2 linked regions of the Schizosaccharomyces pombe genome follow. The protein of the gene in region 1 purifies or fractionates together with the protein of each later gene. This does not show direct contact. Each region holds a gene or a part of one and is shown in the gene's direction. Other genes may lie near its edges.

Region 1 (4,362 bases):
TAGATTGTATAAGCAGCTGATGAATTGGTGCTGACCATTAATTAAATTTGATGCAATGATGCTACTGATCAATTCAAAAGTAAAAAAGAAAGCTTTATACATGTAAATCTATTTCATCATCAGATTAACCGCTTATATACCCATGTGTACTTATTGATCTGTTTCCGTAAACATATTCTTAAATTAATAGAGGATTGTAATATTGCATATAGAACAATGAACTTAGTTTTAGGCAATTAAATCTCCGCGTCAATGTGATATTAAAGGAAACTGGAAATTCATTTTATACAAACTGATTATCTCGCACCCAGGTATATTTCTTTGCTTGCCTCCATTTCCCTTTTGTACGAAGCAAAAATTGACAAATGTGTTTAGCAATCGCAGAAAGAGGGAGTGTGATAAACATTGGGTTGGAATCTCTCACTATGCTTTGAACCTTGTGGGCTTCGAGAAGACCACTTGCCATCAGAGGAATCACAAAGCGTATTATGTCTTTTGAAGTGACAAGCATATAAACTGAATTTGACTTTCTCACAATCCGCCCATGTTGTAGTAATGTTTGCAAAGAGAAATTAAGCGCCAGTATGTGATTTCCATCACAGTTCTCTACTATTTCATTTTCGACGTTGAATATATGAACAAGTGGGAGGTGCAACTCTTTTGCTTTTAAATAAATAATGAGTTCTTCAATTGTAAATCCAGCTTGCACATTTAATTTACACATCTGCCTTATGCACTTAAGTAACTCCTTCGCATGATCTTTAGGAAAATAGGATTTCTTGGGTGTGCGAATGATTGAATGGTGATTTTTAGAGATTTTGGTTAAATTTTTTTTGTATCTCATCCTTTTCTGCCATGCCTTCCATTCATCATTTGGATCACGAAGTTCTTCAAACGACTGAGCAATTAATTCAACCTCAGATCGGAAAGAATTTATCTTTCCAAAGACACAGACAACATTTCCAGGAGACATAGATATTGCTCTTTTTGACATTGAAAAATCATCTTGAATAATAAACACGACACGCAATACCATCCCGCTACAATCATCCACTAAATTCAGTTAGGAAATAGAAAAAAGGGAGCTATAGAGGCAGATGCTTCTCAAAAGTTGATTTTATAAAAAACCTTAACTAGATTCAACAACTAAATGAGTCGTGTATGCAGTAGTGGAACTGCTTATTGCCTCAATGCTGATATTCGTTACCTGTTAAAACATGCTTTCCTTCATAAATATCAATTGCCGCAATATAGCCAACAATTTGAATCCATCTTATGGGAAATCCCATCCAGAAGCCAATGTATCCTAGATATTTGTAAGAATCACTTTGTGATATTTATTTTACAGAAAGAGCACTTACGCTGTAAATGTGGATGAAATGAAATTTTATGAACATCGCTAATAAACATGGGGTTCCATCTTGATAATGTAGGAAATTGATGCGTTAGTTGATTTTCATTTTCTAGCATTTATTAGGTCATTCCCTTAAAGACTTTCAACCATATGATTTGCAATTTTTCAAGTATATAAGTAAATAAAAATTAGTATGCTTCTGGTCAACTATCAACAACAATCGCAGCGTTTTCGAAAATTAAGCAATGATTTGGTGTTTGTGAAGTCTTCATCTTCCTGAGTGCGCGTAATAAGGATAGAGCAATTCTACGAGGATAATAACTATTTAAGTTTCTACAGTAAGATTAAAAGGAAAAAAAATATCTTAACTCTTTATTAGGACATGCATTGATGCTGTTATAAAAAATGCTAATTGACTAAACAACTTTATCAATTGAATTTAGTCTGGTTTCACGCAACTTAGTTATAATTGAATTTGAGAGAAGATCCTAAAAAAGACGTCTACTGACAAAAAGTGAGAGTACAGAATTCGTCAACCAATTTTGTAAATGTCACACCAATGTGCATTGTTTATATCTTGCTAAATTCTAGCACACAAATTCCTATCTTCATATACCGGATAATTCTAAATTATATGATTTATTTATGAATAGGGAATACGCAAGGAGGTATGAAAACCAAACTTCTTCAGTTATTGATGTTTCACATTCAACTGTTTTGAAGATAAATTATATTGCTCCTACTGTGTTCGATCAAGAAACCTCGTGGAAAAATGCATTCTTTAAAAGAGTAACTAAAAAAAACCAAAACTCCCAACTTTTTTTTGTTTTATGTTTATAACGGTCTATCAATTCTTCAATAAAGTGTTACCAAACAAAGCACTTAGAGGTAAGGATGGCAAAAATAAAGGCTTTTCTTAGGTCGAAATATTTGTTGTGAAACAAAGGGTATCCGCGAATAGCATGACAGCGGCTGTTCTGCTCAGCTTTCATCTGAAATTGAATAAACTAGCAATACCAAGAATACAAACAATGTACCCAAACTCATAGGTAAAGCATATAGAAACAAATAACCTCTTATCATCAGTGAATATGAATTATTTTTGCTGAATATACTCCCTGTTTTCAAAATTTAGTCTCACATGATCAATGTTGTTTCGACAAATGTCCTATGTATAAATGTAACAGCCACTATGTGACCTTCACCAGAGCCATACTTGGTAATAATACACTTTTAAGCATACGTTAAAGGGGTTTCGATTGCTGACAATAGAAAAATTTTTTAATTAAATTCTAAATACAACGTTGCTAGTTCAATCGAACTATTCTAAAGTCAGTTTAGTGAAAACAACATGGCCGAAGTTTTAGATCTTGAAATTGACCCAATTTCAGATGGAGAAGATGATACCTATTCTAGTGAATTGGATGATGATTTAAAGGATTCCATTGAACAATTGGAACGAGTTTTATGTTTGGTGGTGTTCCCGTTGTTAGGAAAGTTTCTTGGTCGTAAATTCGCATTTCATGGTAAGTTAGTATAAATTAAAGGAATAGGAATAGATGGTGGATTTTTTTTATTTGCTTTTAGTTTCTCAAAGAGGAAATAAGTTTTGCAAATAATTGAATAATAGAGCAAAAAAATCCGTTTTTGGAGAAAGATTGAGCACAACTGATTTTCTTATTCCATCAGCTTGAATTATAGCTTTTTCTTCCTATAAACTGTTTTTAAATGGTCTGCTTGTTGGTCTACATTTACATCTTTCGTTATTTTTTAAACATTTTTGTTTCCATTACTGTTCTATTAGTCTTTCATTCTTAACCTTTTCTACATCCTTAAACTTCTGTACATTTATTGTATACTAACCCTTGGATTTAGCATGGGCTCGCTGGTTAGAACGGAGGCGCTTGGTTAGTAATTAAAAAGATTTATTTCTGAATCTTCTTACATTCGCTGGTTTAATACTTATTGTTTCTGTTTCTATTATGATATTGTGTGATGAAACCCATAGTGTGCCATTCGTTCTCGGATGAAATTCTCTTTATGATCTGAATAAGAATTAATGAATATTTGATTACTGTATAAATCAATGTACTCGACATTTATTAAATTGTAACGGTTTTTGAATCCGAACTTCAAAAAAAATTGGAAATGTGTGTATTCATCGTTTTGCTTATTGATACTATTCATTATTTTTTCCTTTCTTTTTGTTCAAATGAACAAACTGTTTAGTAAAAATGAGACATTTGCATCTACGACAGCCTCGACATATTAATAAACGACGTTAATGGGGTGACTATTAGTAATCTATGTTCCAGTATTATACCTGCCTCATCAGATAGTAATTTCATGACTAAAATTAAAAAATTAATTAGAAATCAACATTTCTAGAACCTTAAGTATTAGATCTGTTGATTCTGTAAATCAGTTCTTGCTGCAGCTTATAAAGCACACGCACACCAAACTTGCTGCATTTTTCTGTATAGTCTTCACAACTATTTAATCAAGTAAATAATCATGTTCAGTGGTATTAAAGGCCCTAACCCTTCAGACTTAAAGGTATGAATCAAAAATATGAACTTGCGGTGTTTTCTTTGCGTTTCCTATTTAGCGCTGCTTGTTTTCACTTATATCCATGAAAAGAAGTTCGATATGTTTTTTTTTTTTAGTTGAACCTTTTCTTCTGAATACCGAATTTTATTTTATTTTCTACACGATATAATTATTGCTTAAGTGTTCTATTTACAAAAGCGCTTGGTCTTTTTTTTTTTAAATTTCTCCTCTTTCTCACGCAGTTTTTTCGTGAAAATAGTTAATTCAAAAGTTCTAATCAATTTTTTTTATAGGGACCAGAATTGCGCATTCTTATTGTCCATGCCCGCTGGAATCTTCAAGCCATTGAGCCTCTTGTTAAGGGTGCCGTTGAGACCATGATAGAAAAACATGATGTGAAGTTGGAGAATATTGACATTGAAAGTGTTCCGGGAAGTTGGGAACTTCCTCAAGGTATT
Region 2 (4,923 bases), 280 kb from region 1:
TTGACGTGTTTAAGAAATACTGCTTAAATGAAATAGGAGTAAAAAGTGACGGAACGTATGCCGGTCCCAAAGGACCGGGCTTAATATTCTTCCTCTTGTTCTTCTTCTTTTTTTTATTATTCTTCTTTTTTTTCTTCTTTTTCTTGTCTATCTCATAATCTGATTGAGACTGCTCTTCAAGCGTTTCCCAGTTAAAAGAAGTGATTTCAGTTAGCTCTTCCCGATCATCCAGCTGATTAGCAATATCAGAAATATTGTACTCGTAAACGCGAAAAGTTGGAAACATTTCAGGTATAATCGAACCACCAACGGTAGCCAAGGAGTAATTCCCGACGGTTCCATTAAGAAACTCCTCTGTTAAATTCTCGGGAAATGTAGGAAGCTCCGCGTATTGGGCATCAATTAAAGATTTTACATATTTTGGTTGCGCACTTTTGATTCCATAAGATTCTGTATCAACAGGTAACTTATCGAATTCCAAAAACACAAAATGGTTTATGTTCATATGACCATAGAGTTGTCCAACTATAATATCTCGAAACTCATAAAGCAAATCCGTAAAAGAAGTATAACAATCTTCATACCACTGGCCCCTTGTAGGGGGAATATGTCCTAGAAGCCAAACTTTCATTCCCTTTAGCCGATACGCTTCAAGCTGTATTTTGAACCATCGCATAAAAAGAGAACCAGGTTCGTCTAGATTATCATCAGGACAACCATCGACCGCGGCATTTTTGTTTGATAGGTAAAGAGTGTTAATGGAAATTGCTGCTAGCTTGTCCGGAATCACATCACATAGGTAATAAGAGCCCTTTTCAAAAGTGTGTCGTTCCTCATAAGGAATTAAAGCATCCCAAGCACCAGCTAGTTGTCGAGTCATTGAAGATGGACCAGCTTCCATAATGTTATGAGGATATATATCATTATTCCCGATAGCGGAAACAATTGGAACGTCAGGAAACGCCTCTATCATTTTATTAACCAAGTCCTCATTTGAAGCAAGAATTTCACTTTGTGTTCTTGGAAAATGGTTATCATTGTCATGCCTAGAATTATCACCAGTCCACAGTATGAAGTCAATGCCTCCCAGAACATCATCTTGATGTTCCTTAAGCCATTCCAATGTCTTATCAATTAATGCTGGTGAAGAATCACATTCATAACCAGGACCAGGAGAGAGGTAACCCACTTTGCTTTTACCCAAGGGAGTATCGTCAGAATTATGATCATAGGAATGACAATAATGATCGACGGTGGATCCTTTTTCGTAATAAATGTCAGGATGCATATCGGTGATATGCAAAAATCTACCAACAAGTGGTTTTCCTTTGCTATTAACTAAATCATTTGTATGCGCTTTATTTCGCATACTCATAGGGTTGCCAAATGCAAAAGAAGCCCATGTCGACTGTACAAAAAGAACAGCAACCGTGATTACAGAGGGACGCATTCTAAAAAGAAGGAAATCGGTATATAAAAGAAAAAAAAACTTTACCTAAGTAGAAAAAAAGAGGACACTTCAGACTAGGACGAAATTTTCCAAAATCTGTAATACAATTTCCCAGGCAATTTCAAAAACAAAAAATGGTGTTTGAAAGATTCAAGGGCTTTTGAACTCAGTACAACTTAAATAAATCAAAATTTCCCAGTAGCCGTTAATGAAATAAGTATTGTTAATCTGTTTGACAAAAAGATCGATCTAAATTAAGATCACGAGCGGGTAGTCATGAACCGAAGTCCTGCAGAGTCAATAGAAGTTGCTTCTGAGCTTTGCAAACCCCAGAGAACACTTAATTTGGGTTTGGACTATTCGATGCTCGTAATGGAAGCAGTTAAAAGATCCGTGATACTCTTCCCTAGTGAAGACGAATGTTGTGTTCACCGCTATATATGTATGATGAAAGATGTCGCATTTTATATTTTGTCAGAGCTTGCATTACGGTATTAGTTACTAACTTAATTTCGTTAAATGAATAAGGAGGAAAGTGTTTTGCTCATTAACCATTGTCCTGACGCCTTAAAGCGTTGACAGCATCTAAGAACGGGACACTCGTAATTTTGATTGGGAATAAAGTATCCTTCCACATATACTTGCCCCATCAACTCAGTTGATTCTTAATAATAGAATTTACGCCAAAAATATTATTCGTGCAATTGCTTTGAAAGTTGATATAAAAACTTCTCTAAAGGAGTTATTTGAAAATTGTGTTGATTACCGGTTGGTTCGTTTCGTTATAGTATTTGTTGGACAAGCAGGATGGAGAAAAATACAGTTACAGTTCCAAAAACCTTGTTTTCACAAGTTATTCATATTTTCAAGTATGCGGCAATTAATTTGGGCCTTCCTTTCTTGAATGGAGTTATGTTGGGATTCGGGGAGATCTTTGCTCATGCATTTATCCACTCTCTTGGTTGGGCTCCAGGTCATACTAGGATTTATTCTATTCAAAGACATCAGTATATTCAAGCCTAAAATGAAGCATAGCTGTGCGAGGAAATTTATCTTTAATATTTGAGGGAAATGGTGTTTGCTTATTCGTGATTTTTTTATTTTTTCATTTTAAGCTGAGGCGAGTATTCATAAAATTTGAGATACTCGAATGCTTAACTCATGTTTCTCTCAGATGTATTATGGTTTCAGCTTTGCACTCTCTTTAATGATCGTTTTCTTTAGTTTTATTGTTTTTATTTTCTTTTCCCACAATATTAAGAGCTTCTTTGGCACAATGCAAAGAATATATATGCTCAAGGGATGGAAAACGAATTAAGCCCAAATGAATTGTGTTTATATTTGCAAAATAACATTTAATTTCCTTTGCATTTAATTTATTTATGATCGTTTTCCTTGAGCTTCCTTCTTCTGTTTTTTAAGTATAATTACTTTTGATTTTATTTATGCCCTTTATATTAACATTATGTGACACGTTATACATCGCTTCTTCGGACCGACAAATTGATTTGAGTAGCATAGTATAGAAAAAGGTGTCAACGAAGATTTATATGAGCTGTGAGACAAGTATCGAAGCTATCATCATTGTTTAAAATTGTTCATTATTTTTACATTACTTTGATTTGAATGACAGTACTACGCTTTTTGTTGTTTTCCTCATCACATCGCTTTTTTAAATAATTGTTATTGTATTCGAACAACGATAGTGCTCTAACTTAATGACTAAAACACGCTTATTTGTAAAGGCGTGTAAGTATTACTATTCTCAGAGCAACAAATCTCAACTGATTATAAATTGATTGCACAGCCCATTGATTCATTAGAATTTTACAGGTTATTTCTGTCGTTGCTCAAGCTTTGAAAAATATACTTTTGAATGATTCTTAAAACTTACATTATCGCATGCTTGGTACACTCGGTTGGCTTTAATGATGTTATAAGACAATTTCAAGTTTGATGATACAAAAAAGGATTCTGATCCTCGAACTGAATCTTCTTGTTTATGCATAAAAAGCAGATACCGACTACTTAAAGTCAGCAAATCTGAAAAAATAAATTATCATTAAATTTTTGTCAAATTTACGAATACTGACTTCACAATTTGCTATATAAACTTGAAGATTTATTGCATTAGCCAACAAGAATACTATATTTCTATTTTCTTCCAAGATGTAGCATGGACAAACCTAAACAGTAGTCGTTCTATATTTTATAGCTATTTAAATAATTAACTATATTACCCATCGCACAGAATTACATAGCATATTATTTAAATCTTGGATATACGCTCTACAAGCATTGCTATACACTTTCAGTGGTTTTTAAAAACATGTATTAACAGGATTCCAAGCAAACTTTAGTACGCATCCAACACAAATAGGAAGTCTACGATCACACAAATTACAGCGATATAGAATTTCGCGAAAAGAATAAACCATTAACTCAAGTAATTTCAAAAGGTTCTTTGTTAACGAATCTGTTTTAAATGTAATAATAAATTTTAATCTATAGCAAATATGTGGACCTTCTGACACTCGCGTACAAGTAGGTTATCTTGTTAGCAAGCTCTTAAAAGATCCATTCATTTATATACGCTCAGTGAATAGCAAATACGAATGCATAGCAAAATACCATGCGGGTAAAAAACCTTCCTATTCGCACTGTCTTGAGCGAGTACGGTAATGTAAAGTGACCATAATACCACTTTATATAGCAAAAAAATACTGTTACTTCAATAGTGACTATGAAAAAAAGCAGTCGCTAGATGAACTAAGTCACAATAATATATTGATCGATTAAAAACTCATTAGTATAGGCATAGTCAAAGCTAGTTGAGTCTTTTAATAAACCGGATTATTTAATCCGTTTGAAGTTGTAAAGAACTGTAAGCGTTGCCAACGTTGATTTTTATTATTCACGGAATCGATCTTGAAAACAAAGGTTGTATTTACTTTCTTTTGCTCTTTAAACAGTAATATTATCATACACATAGTAATCTTTAAAAACTAATGAAAGGATTCTGCTCTTGCATTAACTTTGGAGAGTATCTTCCTTCATTTTCAAACCGAATCAGCGTAATAAAATATACCTATACTCTCTAGCGTATAAAAAATATGAATCCATTTTTTTAAGTTTTTCATTCATCAAATATATATTATATTTATGTTTCTACTTTATTTAGTATGCTTGGTTATCCGTGGACTTGTTAAGCCTCACGCAAACTTTCCCTACTTACCTATACTTTACTGATTCTGCCCACACTACAACTCCCTGTTGATTTATTTTCATCTTGTATCAAATTTGAAGATGTCAGATCGTGAAGAAAAGCTAGCTGCAGCTAAACAAAGGGTATGCATAATATTTTGTAACATTTAACTTACGAGTGCTAGTTGCTGGAGGTCAAGAAGAAAAAACGCCAAGCTAAATCTAAAAATTCAGTTGCCGAAGATAATGTTGACCGCGAATCTAATGAT

What was found. The genes of interacting proteins can lie anywhere in the genome.
Region 2: the proteins of mim2 (region 1) and mim1 purify together in Schizosaccharomyces pombe (affinity purification with western blotting; one study listed by BioGRID). This does not show direct contact.

What each region holds. Positions count from the first base shown.
Region 1 is NC_003423.3:1,161,613-1,165,974, forward strand, and holds mim2 (protein mim2), read left to right. Parts: upstream 1-2,557; 5' UTR 2,558-2,705; coding exon 2,706-2,880; exon of another isoform or gene 2,881-2,896; intron 2,897-3,067; exon of another isoform or gene 3,068-3,229; coding exon 3,230-3,273; downstream 3,274-4,362. Other genes in the region: telomere cap complex subunit Stn1, read right to left, coding at 284-1,053, 1,208-1,306, 1,362-1,470; rib4 (6,7-dimethyl-8-ribityllumazine synthase), read left to right, coding at 3,869-3,910, 4,198-4,362.
Region 2 is NC_003423.3:880,203-885,125, forward strand, and holds mim1 (MIM complex subunit Mim1), read left to right. Parts: upstream 1-2,257; coding exon 2,258-2,473; 3' UTR 2,474-3,713; downstream 3,714-4,923. Other genes in the region: SPOM_SPBC713.07C (polyphosphatase), read right to left, coding at 1-1,450; SPOM_SPBC713.09 (uncharacterized protein), read left to right, coding at 4,757-4,798, 4,840-4,923. UniProt on the Schizosaccharomyces pombe protein: Component of the mitochondrial outer import machinery (MIM) complex that mediates transport of proteins into mitochondrial compartments. Promotes the insertion of tom70 into the outer mitochondrial membrane.